3 linked regions of the Drosophila melanogaster genome follow. The protein of the gene in region 2 interacts with the protein of the main gene of each other region in a pairwise test. Each region holds a gene or a part of one and is shown on either strand. Other genes may lie near its edges. The genes, in order: CG10252, CG3792 and ari-2.

Evidence for each region.
Region 1: the proteins of CG3792 (region 2) and CG10252 interact in a two-hybrid assay, tested with the Drosophila melanogaster proteins (one large-scale study listed by BioGRID).
Region 3: the proteins of CG3792 (region 2) and ari-2 interact in a two-hybrid assay, tested with the Drosophila melanogaster proteins (one large-scale study listed by BioGRID).

Annotation. Positions count from the first base shown.
Region 1 is NT_033777.3:23,694,481-23,697,908, reverse strand, and holds CG10252 (uncharacterized protein), read left to right. Parts: upstream 1-1,663; 5' UTR 1,664-1,746; coding exon 1,747-1,765; intron 1,766-1,826; coding exon 1,827-2,045; intron 2,046-2,105; coding exon 2,106-2,292; intron 2,293-2,363; coding exon 2,364-2,628; 3' UTR 2,629-2,688; downstream 2,689-3,428. Other genes in the region: prt (portabella), read left to right, coding at 85-686, 753-969, 1,033-1,157, 1,224-1,316.
Region 2 is NT_033779.5:4,975,724-4,979,289, forward strand, and holds CG3792 (uncharacterized protein), read left to right. Parts: upstream 1-1,588; 5' UTR 1,589-1,874; coding exon 1,875-1,962; intron 1,963-2,024; coding exon 2,025-2,695; 3' UTR 2,696-2,842; downstream 2,843-3,566. Other genes in the region: Gmd (GDP-mannose 4,6-dehydratase), read right to left, coding at 1-436, 497-932, 1,036-1,206; CG8891 (uncharacterized protein), read right to left, coding at 2,843-2,984, 3,053-3,362, 3,422-3,545.
Region 3 is NT_033778.4:22,211,207-22,217,913, forward strand, and holds ari-2 (ariadne 2), read left to right. Parts: upstream 1-1,628; 5' UTR 1,629-2,234; coding exon 2,235-2,313; intron 2,314-3,675; coding exon 3,676-4,979; intron 4,980-5,039; coding exon 5,040-5,186; 3' UTR 5,187-6,058; downstream 6,059-6,707. Other genes in the region: CG11291 (uncharacterized protein), read left to right, coding at 235-977, 1,032-1,215; CG30278 (uncharacterized protein), read right to left, coding at 6,312-6,707.

The sequences.
Region 1 (3,428 bases), on a different chromosome or scaffold from region 2:
ATGGAACTTTATATTGTATTATATTTCTATATTTTATTAATGCGTAAAACGATATATCCAACTTTCTCCAAACTTACCTTTCAGTTTTCACCGTTGGTGAATCCTACTGGGCTCTCCTGGTGGCCCGGGCTGTGCAGGGCGTGGGATCCGCTTGCATCAACATATGCGGCATGAGCCTGGTGGCCCAGCATTATCCGGAGGAGGCACGTCGTTCCAAGGTGATGGGCATCATCCTGGGCAGCATCGCATTGGGTGTGCTGCTGGGCTATCCATTCGGTGGAATTCTGTATGACCTAATGGGCAAATCGGCGCCTTTTATCATTCTCTCCACTCTGATGTTCCTAAGTTTGGGCCTCCAGCTCCTGACCATGGATCTGACGGTGCAACCGGAGGTTGTGGTGGAGGATAGACCCAAGTGGCGATCGCTGCTCGAATGCAAAATGATCCTGGCCATTGTGCTGGCCATTTGGTTTTCAACCTCAACAATGGCCATGCTGGAGCCCTGTCTGCCCATCTGGCTAATCCAGTATCTAAAGCCTAACAAGTGGCAGCTGGGCACCGTTTTCATTCCAGACTCTGTGGGCTACTTTGTGGGCACGAACTTCTTCGGCAGCATTGCCTACAAATATGGTCAGGTTAAGGTGTCCTGTATCAGTTTGTTGCTGGTGGGAGTAGCCTCTATTCTGGTGAGAGCCCTGCTTTTATAAAACCTGAATTGGAAATATATTGCAAATATATTATTTACTTTGCAGATACCCAGTGCTACAACGGTGGCCCAACTATTGCTGCCCCATTTTGCCTTGGGACTGGGTATTGGAGTAATCGATGCCGCATTGGTTCCACTCTTGGCCACCTTTGTGGATGCAACACTGGCTCAGGAGGATCAGGGTGAGGGCAGCAGTTCCATGTCCAGCTACGGAACAGTCTATGCTATCCAGCAGACCTCTGTCAGTCTGGCTTATTGCTTAGGTAAGTGGATATTGTTTTTTTTTTTTTTCTAAAAAAAAAAGTGTATTTTTATCATCTTTATAGCTCCCCTGATTGGCGGGGAGTTGGCCCAGACCTTTGGATTTGCTTGGCTGATGCGCATTGTCGGCATTTTCAATATGATTTATGGCCCAATATTGGTCTACTTGCATCAGAAATACGATCCAAAGGTATCAACATTTTTTATATTTTTCGATTAAGCCGTCACTATTTATATGTGTTTTTTTTTTTAACAGGCCCTTAGGGAACAGCATAATGATATGCTGCTCCAAAGCAGCGGGCGGGGATCTAGGTATAAACAACTTTACAACTCCATGGATGTGGAATAAGCTGTACTGCCCAGTTGTCCAGCAAAATAGCAAACAACCTTGAGTGTGCAAATAAGGCGTTCCTTTGGCTCAATAAAGCAATATATCTGGAGCTGATTTTCGTAAACAATTTATTTTTCCGATAAAATTCGAATCTCCTATTATTAAAATCACTTTGCCATGTCTTGAAGTAACTTAGGTTATTATGATCAAATTTTCGGAATAAAAAGAATTACGTAATTAATATTTGAATGGGTTATGTGTGAAGGAATTACGGTGGTAAAACTTTTCTATAACAAGTGTGCTATGGCTCTGACTTCGAATGGAGCTGCGATGTGAAGTTCTATGAAAGCCTCATTCTGCTACTGGAATCTGTTCGGCCAACACCTAATATTGGGTTCTAAATTTTCAAAATAGATTTTCTTTCTAATATTGCACAAAACTAACAAAAATGGCGGTGCGACCTTTTGGTGAGTGAGAATTCATAAAATTGTAATGTGGTAAATAATATATTATACATGCTTTTTGTAGGCCCTGGACCCGGCGTTTACATGCTGCCCCCCACTGTGGGCTATGATAAGCATGACAACCGCAAACAGCGGTTGCCGCAGTACTCTTTCGGCATGCGCACCCGTGCTCCTGGTGAGGATCTGGGTCCTGGTCCAGGGGCCTACAAGGTGGACAAGTTGACTCGCTATGGCACGAGCAAGGGTTTGGAGTTCTCGATGGCGCCCAGAACCAATGTCATCGGTAAGATAACTTATTAGTACTGAAGACAAGAACGTTTTTGGTTAAATTGCTTAATCGTAGATAAGCGAAGCAGTCCCGGTCCGGGAGCACACGATGTTCATAATAGGCCATTCTTTAAGGGGGTTAATGCTCCTTCGTATTCGATGGGCCTACGAACGGACTTTAACTTCAAGAAGGATGGTCCCGGTCCCAATGCCTACAAGTACGAGGTCAATGCCGTTCGTCCTGGAGTCCCGAGCTATAGCATGTGCGTATTTCAATCCTACCATAGTTATTCCTTTACTAAGTTGCCTATTTTTATTTGTACCTGTATCTCAGGGGACTACAAACAAAGATTTTGAACAAGACGAATTCTCCGGGTCCGGCTGCATATGGCGGTGGTGATATCAATGTCAAACTGACACGTGCTCCGATATACTCGATGCAGCCGCGCACCACTATTCCGGGCGAGAATGTCGGACCTGGACCCAACTACTACGACCTCATGTACTATCGTCCTGGCAAGAGTGGACCGGGCTACTCCTTTGGTGTGCGCCACCACCAGTTCGCTCCGCCTATGATAGTTAGATGTGACAATATGTAGACCAAGTGCAATATTGGAAGAAATATATGCTAAAATTTTTGTGAATAAACAATTCTTTTTAAACCAAGTTTCATTGTTTATGGAAAATGCTTAACGGGGTATTAAAATGAGATTGAATTTGTTTTAACTTGGTAGAACGCAATGAGCGTTACCTTTATTGGAAAAGGAAGGGAGCATTTTGATGCTAGTGCGCCTATGATGTGATACACTTGGCTCTGTACATGTCTAAAATACAAGTAGTCCCTGAACGATGTGTCAAATTAACATTTGATAATAGAAATTTTTGGAAAAAGCACATTTACATTTACATTATTATATCAACGTAACGGTGAGTTTTTAGGCAGACAACAACACGCGTTACTATTTTACGGAATTGAGAGTAACTGAATTTGTATTTAGACTATCCCATTTCAATTTCGCGGGCAAATGCTCATCTTGTTTCAACCGTTGTTTTCTCTTAACAGAGCGCTGTTATCAAGATAATGGTTCGAGTGCTCGCTTAAAGGCACTGGAACTCGGAACCATTGATTTTATCTAACTCCGGTATTTTTCAGTCACAAAATTCTTTTTATCAAAGTTTCTCGTTTTGTTTGTAGATTTTGCCTGTTTTATTTATAGTTTTTCGAAAGAAGTTGGCGAAATTGTCCAAGCAAATTTATAGTTTGCTCCAGTGTCCGTAAATTAGATGTGTGTTTGTGTGTCAGTGGCTCGTCGGGCATATTATAGGAATTTGTAATAATTAGTGGCCAATAAAGGGAGAAGAAATATATTCACCGAGCATTCGCCACGGCAAAGTTCTT
Region 2 (3,566 bases):
CGAAAATACTTTGGATTTATGCGGACGCGCACAATACCCGTGCCGTTCTCCACTCCCACCTCGTCCACACCCTTGCCCTTCCACGTTATCTCTCGATCAATATGCTTGAACGCGGCTTCCACGAATTCGCGCACACTGTGCGTTTCGCCTGTAGCTATGACGTAGTCGGAAGGAGACTCCCGCTGCAGCATCATCCACATGGCCTCCACGTAGTCGCTGGCATGTCCCCAGTCGCGCTTTGAGTCGAGATTGCCCAGTTCAAAATACTCCATTTGCTTGTGATAAATCTTGGCCACGCTACGGGTGATTTTTCTAGTCACAAAGTTCTCGCCACGTCGTGGACTTTCATGGTTGAAGAGGATTCCATTACAGGCGTACATGTTGTAGGCTTCCCGGTAGTTGATGACGATCCAAAAGCCGTACATCTTAGCGCAGGCTAAAGTTAGGTGGGATTAAGTATTACTTTTAGCATACATTATCGAAGCTGCTGCCTTACCATATGGCGACCTGGGATAGAAGGGCGTCTGTTCGTTCTGTGGCGTCTCCACCACTTTACCATATAGCTCCGAAGTGGAGGCTTGGTAAAACCTCACGTTCTTTTCCATGCCACAAGTGCGGATGGCGTCCAGAATGCGCAACGTGCCCACGGCGTCCACCTCGGCCGTGTACTCACTGAGATCGAAGGAGACCTTGACATGGGATTGTGCTGCCAAATTGTAAATCTCCGTGGGCTTCACCATATTGATGATCTTCACCAGGCTGCTGCTGTCCGTCATGTCGCCATAGTGGAGCTTCATACGCCCACCTTTGTGCGCCTTTGGATCGGCATATAGATGCTCAATGCGGGTGGTGTTGAAGGTGCTGGCCCGCCGAATAATGCCGTGCACCTCGTAGTCCTTCTTGAGCAGAAACTCTGCCAAATAGGAGCCATCCTGGGCGATAGGGAACAAGTAAGAATCGAGCACTTTGAACACGTAAGCACGGAATGAAGGAGATGCCCCTGAAACAGCCGTGACTAATTCATCAATTACACACCTGGCCCGTTATGCCTGTTATCAGCGCCACTTTATCACGGGAGTCGCCTTCGGCGCCGGCTTCCGTTCCGTTTTGGTCCTTGCTGCCGTTGCTGCTGCTTTCAGGACGTTGCTTCTTGGTTTCCGGGGCCCCATCGGAAGTCGACATAGCAATTAGCCGGGTATTTAGCATTTACTGACGCTAGTTTTAATTTTCACGCCGACGCAGCCCGGATAATAAACAAACTTTTGTCTACAGCACTCAGGTAGAGGTGAATAAATAATCGATTGGTTATCGATACATCGCAATCGAAGCACTTGTACGGGACAGTGGGGCAATCTATTTAAGACAGCCTAAATTATTTTCAATAAGCAAAAAGTAAATATTTTATCACAAAAAACAAATTATGTATGGAATAACATTTTAAATAAGAATTCAGCGCAAATTTAAAATTAAAACCAAATCTGGTTGAATAACACTTTATTTACTTTACTGCCAATGTTGCACTTTTTTTCGATTTTGTTCCACTTTGTGGCAGTGTTGAGTAGCAGGAAAACCCACGTAGCGATTTTTAGCGCATACCTTTCAGCGAAAGCCGGACGAAAATAACATAACGTTGGCACAACCACCTATCTTATCATTCCTCCTCCACTCCCAAGCCGATTCGCCACCGGGCATCAATATCTTCTTCGGCGGAACCCGCATTACGTGTGCGTAAACGGCGGCTTTCAATTTCATTCTCGGAGCGACCGGCCGGCCAGCTTGATAACACCGGTGCATAGTGAAACCAGCGCCGCTTACTAATTAAGTACGACCACGACCTCCGAGATAAACAGAAGTCAATTGTTCGCAGCACAAAAATGACGGATCTTATCAGGCAGGGTGCTCTGTTCCTTATGAGCGAGAAGTGCTATGATAACTACTTCCTCTATCACAACTTTTTAGATGGTGAGTGGCTGCTAATTCAAAAAGGTATGTGCCTATTAAGTATCAATTAACATTTCTCGTAGTTCCGTGCTTCAAGGCTTTGCTGAGCAAGGGCTTGGGATTGGCAATTATCGCAGGTTCCGTGCTGGTCAAAGTACCACAAGTGCTGAAGATCCTTAACAGCAAGTCTGGCGAGGGCATCAACATTGTGGGCGTAGTGTTGGACTTGCTGGCCATCTCCTTCCACCTGTCGTACAACTTTATGCATGGCTATCCGTTTAGTGCCTGGGGCGACAGTACCTTCCTGGCCATCCAGACCGTCACAATCGCCGTCTTGGTCTTGTTCTTCAACGGGCGCAAGGCGCAGTCGGGACTCTTTCTAGTGGGATATGTCGTGCTGATGTATGTTCTCAATTCGGGGCTAACGCCCATGTCGGTGCTGTTCACCATCCAGAGCTGCAACATTCCCATCCTGCTGGTGGGCAAGCTGTCTCAGGCGTATACCAACTACCAGGCTGGATCCACTGGTCAGTTGTCAGCCGCCACTGTGATCATGATGTTTGCAGGATCGGTGGCCCGCATCTTCACCTCCATCCAGGAGACTGGTGACTTTATGATCATCCTCACTTTCATTGCCTCTACCTTTGCCAATTCGGTTATTCTGGGCCAGCTGATCTACTACTGGAACAAACCCGCTGGCGTCAAGGTGAAGGATTCAAAGGCCAAGAAGCCGAAGACCAAGAAGGATGACTAAGCAGTGCGGATAGAAGTAACAAAAGTAGAAACAGATATACATAGAGAGATTTGAACTCGAAACATAGGTTGCAACAACTTCTCGACAATGTAGAACAAATATGCGATGTTTAAATAATTGAATTGAATAATTAAATTAAATTGAGTCCTAGTTTATTAACTTGTCCTGTTTCTCGAAGTGCTGCCGCAGTAGAGCTAAAGCGCGGTAGCGATGGGAAATGGTGTTCTTCTCGGACTTGGGCAGTTCGGCGTAGGTCTTATCGTAGCCACTGGGCTGGAAAACCGGATCCCTGCGGCAATGATAGAGAATTTAATAAGCAAGAGCCATTTTATCAGACTTCTTACGCAAGTGACTCACCATCCAAAGTCCCGGGGGCCGCGAGGTTCGACGATAACGCCCTCGGTGATGCCCTTAAAGATTAGAGGCTCGGCATCCACACCGTCGCAGTAGCCAAAGGTGCAAATAGCCTGAGCGCTTTTGTTCTCCCAACCATGGAGCAGACGGTGTAACCCCTCCGGCTGCAGCTTCTCCAGGAACCATTTGATGTACGGACCCGGCAAGCCCTCCAGCGCATTGAAGCACAGACTAGTGTCCTCCACCAGCACGGGTCCATTCACCTGACGCGCTGCCTCCTTGCACTTCTTGATGGCAATCTCGTCGATGTCGCCTGACATTAAACATACGTAGTTTTAGTACTACATCATTCAGATGATGGCTGTTATTCACCTTGCAATTCCGGAAGATCAATCTTCTTTGACACAATGGTGCGCGGGAAACTGGGTCCCAGGATGGCAACCAACTCTTCCAGCTTCTTGGCGTTGCCGGTGACAAAGGTAATTGGTTTCGACATGACGGTACAGATTAAATTGTC
Region 3 (6,707 bases), on a different chromosome or scaffold from region 2:
TGCGCTTTCACTCTGGGTGGTATTTTCGACAGCATCTCGTGGCCGAAGATTTTATTAGAAAGAAAACATTTTTATATAGTATCACTTTACTTTTGCCAAATAAACTTTTTCGTATTCCTTGCTATTTTATGATACTCTTATATGGCAATATGAAATTTTTAATCTTTGAAAATAATGTCATAAAGTACTCAAAATTTTAATATTTCACATTCTAAATTTAATCAAAATTGTATTATGTTAAGGCGCAGTCTAAGCCATCTGGACAAGCTGCCGAAGGCAAAGGTGGCCGAATGGCTGGCCGGGATCGACACCATTATTTGCAGCACGGATGGGGTGCTGTGGCAGGAGAATACCCCCATTGAGGGCTCTGTAGAGGCATTCAATGCCATAATTTCAAAGGGAAAGCGATGTCTCATAGCCACCAACGAGTGCTGCCTAACAAACAAGGATCTGTTCCAGAAGGCCAAGTGCCTGGGCTTCAATGTCAAGGAGCAGGACATTTTCAGCTCGTCGGGTGCCATTGCGAGTTACCTTAGCGACCGGAAGTTTAAGAAGAAAATCCTCGTTTTGGGTGGTGACGGTATCCGCAAAGATCTGAAAGAGGCCGGATTCTGTTCCGTGGTAAACGATCTGCAGCCAAATGACCAGAAAAAAATCGACTTCGTCAGGAGCTTAGTTCTCGATCCGGATGTGGGAGCTGTTTTGGTGGCCAGAGACGACAACATGATAGCGAACGAGTTGCTTGTGGCCTGCAACTATCTTCAAAATCCCAAAGTCTTGTTCCTTACCACTTGCATTGATGGATTCCAGCCATTTGGGAAAAAGAGGATCCCAGATGCCGGATCTCTGGCCTCTGCCATCGAGATAATTGTACAACGCAAGCCTATCGTTTTGGGCAAACCGAATCAGCGGATTTTGGGCAAGTTGATGAAGTCTGGCGAAATAAAGCCCGAAAAGACGCTTGTCATTGGAAACTCGTAAGTTCAATGATTACTTTTATTGAGGATCATACTTTATCCTCTTTCCTTTAGGCTTAAATCAGACATTTTATTTGCAAGTATATGTGGTTTCCAATCATTATTGGTGGGCTGCGATAACGGAGCGATCGAAAAAGCCGAGAAAATTAAAAAAGAGGGAGATGAGAAGAAAATGAAACTTGTTCCAGATGCTTTTCTCTCCGGTCTTGCTTCTTTTGGGGAGTATTTATGCATCTAGGTGATGTCGGGCAAGAAAAGCGATTTCCATATCCAAAAAACATACCCAGCTGACCAAAAAGTAATTTAGATCATATTCAAAATTCAAACTAAGCCGCTCAAAAGCTGAACAGCTGTTTTGTTTCTGAGCACTCCTGTGTGCTAAATGATTTCGGTATTTTGGCTTTTAGCACAAGTCGCGAGTCAGTGCTACCAGTATATTTGTAAATTTTTAGTTTTAAAATTTGTAATCTAAAATAGTAAAGCAAATTGCCAGTTTTCTGTTGAAACTAATAGTTTTGCATCAATAATCGCGAAGAAAAAGTTGAATTAATGTGATAATAAAAAAATACATGTTGTTGGTATATTTTTGGTATTTGATTTGATTGCTTCGTGGTCGCACTGAAAGAAGAAGAGTAATAAAACATCGAACTATCGAAGAACGATATGCCCCGATAGGTTCGGACAAGACAAAGAACAAAATGTTCTCTGCAAAAGCTGTGCTCGCTTAAAAACGCAAAAAGTCAGTGCATCTAGTGCATTGTCAGTGGTGCATAAGATTGTTCTATAAATAGCGAAAAATGAAAATAAACTGCAGGCGAAGTAGAAAAAACACCTTGAGTTGAGTGCAACGGCTGTGCGAGTGTGTGTGCGTGAGAGCGAGAGTGCGCTCGTGTGTGTGTGTACACATGCATGTTGATAAACGAAAATAAAACAAGGGACCGCCCCCCGCCGTAGAATAGCCACCCCGCAAAGTTCATCACCCTAACCAGAATCGGTGGCACTGCATCGCGCTAAATCGGCCACTTTCCATTATCCGCATCCACCGCCCCTCCCGCTCTCTGGGTCCATCATCCACCTCCTGCGAAAACAACAACAGCAACCACCAGCGCCCTTACAACAACTGTTACAAAAGAGCAAGAGAGAAGACACCCCGCACTCACACTCACACGGAAGCAGTGAGTGTCCTCGCCAGAAACTCGAATTCCCAACCAAACATCCCGAATCTGAGGCCCAAATCTTAAGCGCCAATCCGCCGGAATGGACTCGGACATCGAAATGGATATGGAATCGGACAACGACGGGGAGTACGACGACGACTACGACTACTACAACACAGGTAAGTGGAAACTAGTACCTGATCTAGAGGGGCACTTCCCCCTGACAACAATCGGCCATCGATTTAACTGTGGCCAAATTAGGGGTACGAGTGTATCTGTGAGGAAGTACACACACACATGTCGGGCTCTTGGTTTGGTTATTCACCTTTTCGGAAGGAGGCCCGCAAGACCTGGGAATTTGCATTCAGCACTTGACATTCGCCTTGGGTTCCATGACCAAACCCCACACCCCCCATTTGATCTCCGCCCTTCTTCGCTGACCATGAAGCTTAAATTATGGAATTGAACTTGAAACAAACACACACGCACGTAGCTGCACGGCGAGAAAATTGCACTGTGTAATAGGATAAATGTTTAGTTTTAAAATGTCAAATCTAGGCCAAACTAAATGATTACATTTGGTACATTTCCCAAAGCAATTCTAATGATGATTTGATACCTCAATTTAGAGAATTATGTGATAGGGCTTGATTTTCAAATGGTTTTATAACATGAACTCAAATCAATATTGATTTAAAAGGGGCAAAATAATATAAGAATATTACTAAAGACTTGATTTCTCTCAGTGCATGGGCAAGTACAATTGGTAGTTGCGAGTTGGGACTGATTGCGAGGCTTGTGTTTTGTGGCTGGCTTCATTATTGCCCGCCACTCTGCTCACGCTCTTCGTAGCTCCACAACCCACACAAGCACACATTAACACACACACCACGAACACCAGCTCAGGTGCGTGCTCAAGTACGCAGTTGCATTCTGTTGTGTGCCGCTGTTCCGTCAACTCGGTCTCCGCTTCTTGACCTGTCCCTTATTGTTCCGACCTGGCCAAGACGCCCCCTAACTCAACCTTCAATCGGATACCTCATATCGGTAACATCGTAACGTCGAGCACTTCTATGGCAGCCTTGTCGCGCGGTTGTTTTCTCGAATTAGCCAATGTGACTAACAAAATGCAAACATGATTACCGGCTGCATACACTGTAATCCCTTTTGATCCATACATGTCAGATTAACATAGAAGATATTCCCAAAGTAATAATGTTTCGTCGGTTTCAACCGATCAATGTAAGTCAGCCATTGCTTAACTTACAAACTCAACTCAACCTTCGTAACTCTGGAACCAGTTTTGTACAATAAGGGATTAAAAGTGCCCTATTGTATATAACTGCAACTGCTAACTCAGGGTTCGTTTGAAATCCACCCTTGCTGTCTTTCAGTCTGATTTTGGTTTAAAATACAATCAGTTAGCTTAAATAACCAAAAGAAAAAGTGGAAACTGTCCTATCAAAGCATAATAGATTTATGATTTATAAATGTTATAAAGTTCAATTATATTATAATACTAATATCCTTTTCTTCTTCAGGCGAGGACTGCGATGTGGAGCGTCTGGATCCGAAGCGGGCCGACCCGGAGTACTTTGAGTACGAGTGCCTAACCGTCGAGGACATCGAGAAGCTGCTGAACGAGCGCGTGGAGAAGCTGAACACCATCCTGCAGATCACACCCTCGCTGGCCAAGGTGCTGCTGCTGGAGCACCAGTGGAACAATGTGGCCGTCGTTGAAAAGTACCGCCAGGACGCCAATGCACTGCTGGTGACGGCGCGAATCAAGCCGCCATCGGTGGCAGTGACGGATACGGCTTCGACGAGTGCAGCGGCGGCCAGTGCCCAACTGCTCCGACTGGGGAGCAGCGGGTACAAGACGACGGCATCGGCGACACCACAGTACCGCAGCCAGATGTGTCCCGTTTGTGCCAGCTCGCAGCTGGGCGACAAGTTCTACAGCCTGGCGTGTGGGCACTCGTTTTGCAAGGACTGCTGGACCATATACTTCGAGACGCAGATCTTCCAGGGAATCTCCACGCAGATCGGCTGCATGGCCCAGATGTGTAATGTTAGGGTGCCCGAGGACTTGGTGCTGACGCTGGTCACGCGACCCGTTATGCGGGACAAGTACCAGCAGTTTGCATTTAAGGACTACGTCAAGTCACACCCGGAACTCCGCTTCTGTCCCGGGCCCAACTGCCAGATTATTGTGCAATCATCGGAGATCTCCGCCAAACGTGCCATTTGCAAGGCTTGCCACACGGGCTTCTGCTTCCGGTGCGGCATGGACTACCACGCACCCACCGACTGCCAGGTGATCAAGAAGTGGCTGACCAAGTGCGCCGACGACAGCGAAACGGCAAACTACATCAGCGCCCACACCAAAGACTGCCCCAAGTGTCACATCTGCATTGAGAAGAACGGCGGCTGCAACCACATGCAGTGCTTCAACTGCAAGCACGACTTCTGCTGGATGTGCTTGGGCGACTGGAAGACGCACGGCTCCGAGTACTACGAGTGCTCTCGCTACAAGGACAACCCCAACATTGCCAACGAGTCGGTGCACGTGCAGGCGCGCGAGGCGCTGAAGAAGTACCTGCACTACTACGAGCGCTGGGAGAACCACTCCAAGTCTCTGAAACTCGAGCAACAGACGATCGACCGGCTGCGCCAGCGGATCAACTCGAAGGTGATGAACGGCAGCGGCACCTGGATCGACTGGCAATACCTCTTCAACGCGGCGGCACTGCTGGCCAAGTGTCGATACACGCTGCAGTACACCTATCCGTACGCCTATTACATGGAGGCCGGTTCGCGAAAGAATCTCTTTGAGTACCAGCAGGTGAGTCGCAGTTCGGCTATTCTTTAACTGGTTGCCCAATAATGTATTAATTCCGTGCAGGCACAACTGGAGGCCGAAATCGAGAATCTGTCGTGGAAGATAGAGCGCGCCGAGACAACGGACCTGGGTGATCTCGAGAATCAAATGGACATCGCTGAAAAGCGCCGCACCACGCTACTGAAAGACTTCTTCCCAGTGGACGCATAGGCAACCGTCGAGCTTCCAGGGCCACCAGAACGGACAGCCTGTCTTGTTTAGCACAAACACTCTTTGATTGACTGCTGACAGGTCGACGTGACGCGACAGTATAGAGACGCTTATTTAAATTAAATTATACACATATTTACATGTATCCATCTAGTAGTAGGCCCAACGACGTGTAGCTAATTTTTAAATTAAACTAATAATCAAGTGCATATAGACTAGAAAACGTAGCATAGAGCATAGTCGACTACTCGAAGTATAATTACTATAGTTGTGACATTCGAAATCACTCAAAATGATCGGTGTAACTGCAATACAACGCCTTGCGCAGAACGTTAACGATATACAGTATCTATAGCTAAAGCCCTAGCGATACCGATACCGGTAGCTATACCATAACTATAAAACTAACTTTAAATCTAGCAACTGACTAACTGACAAACCAGACGCATTTCAGTGGCCAAGTGTTCCAACAGTTTTCCAAAAACTAGCCCAAACGACCCGATGAAATGCAGAAACAGTAACAATTCTAAATGTATAGCGCCGCAAGTCAAGCAATTATAGATCAAAGACCGCCTAAGCAGATCGGCTCATCGGTTAGACCCTAAGTTTTAAACCTTGTATTAGCCCCGCGTGAACAGCATCAAGTATTCGCAATCTGTATCTCGTAACTAATCGCAGCACATCAATCGAACGCAAAAGTCTTAAGTAAGAACGAAGATAGATACTCCCCGTCCCCGATCCCGTTCCTTTTGATTCTCACTCGATTCTCGATTAACTTTGTAAGCTGAATCATAAATTATATTCTAGGATTACGCTATGTATGTATGCTTATGCGACTGAATTTGAATTAAATTTACACTAGATATACAACTATTCAACTGACTTTTCGACTGTGGGCTGCAAGCTTACGATTTGGGTCTTGTGCTTAAAGCTTTGGAGAAGCTCATACGAAGCTTGGATTGAGTGTTTTAAGGATAAGCTTTCACTCAAGTTTCAAGTTTGGGTTTTGAGCCGAGTTTATTTTTTTTAGTGATTGAGTACGAGCTATATTCCAACTTATCTTCCTTGATTTCGTTGTTATTCAGATTGGATGTGCTTAGTTAGTCTTCGATGATGTTTTTGCTATTATTTTTTACCCTTTTTATTGCCGAACAGTGAACTCTTTCTGCTGCTCTTCCGGCTCTTTCGGCTCTTCCGGCTCTTCCTGCTCATCCGACTCATCCTAACATCAGGCGCCAAAGGTGGTTTCTGCTTCGCAAGTTGGCTGGCTAAGGTGAACAACCGGCACTCGGAATGCTCCTTCAGCAGACTGTTGGCGAACTTCTTGACTCCCGATATCTTGGTCACCCTCACGTTGTTCATATTTTCCACTTTCTTGGCGGGATAGACCTCCACTTCGCAGCAGTTCTTGATCAGCAGCAGGTCGCTGTTGTTTGTGATGGGATACCGGTAGTAAAGTTCATTTCCGCAGTCCAGGCAATTCTTTTTTGTGCGTCTCAGCTGGAATTTCATCGGGAAGCA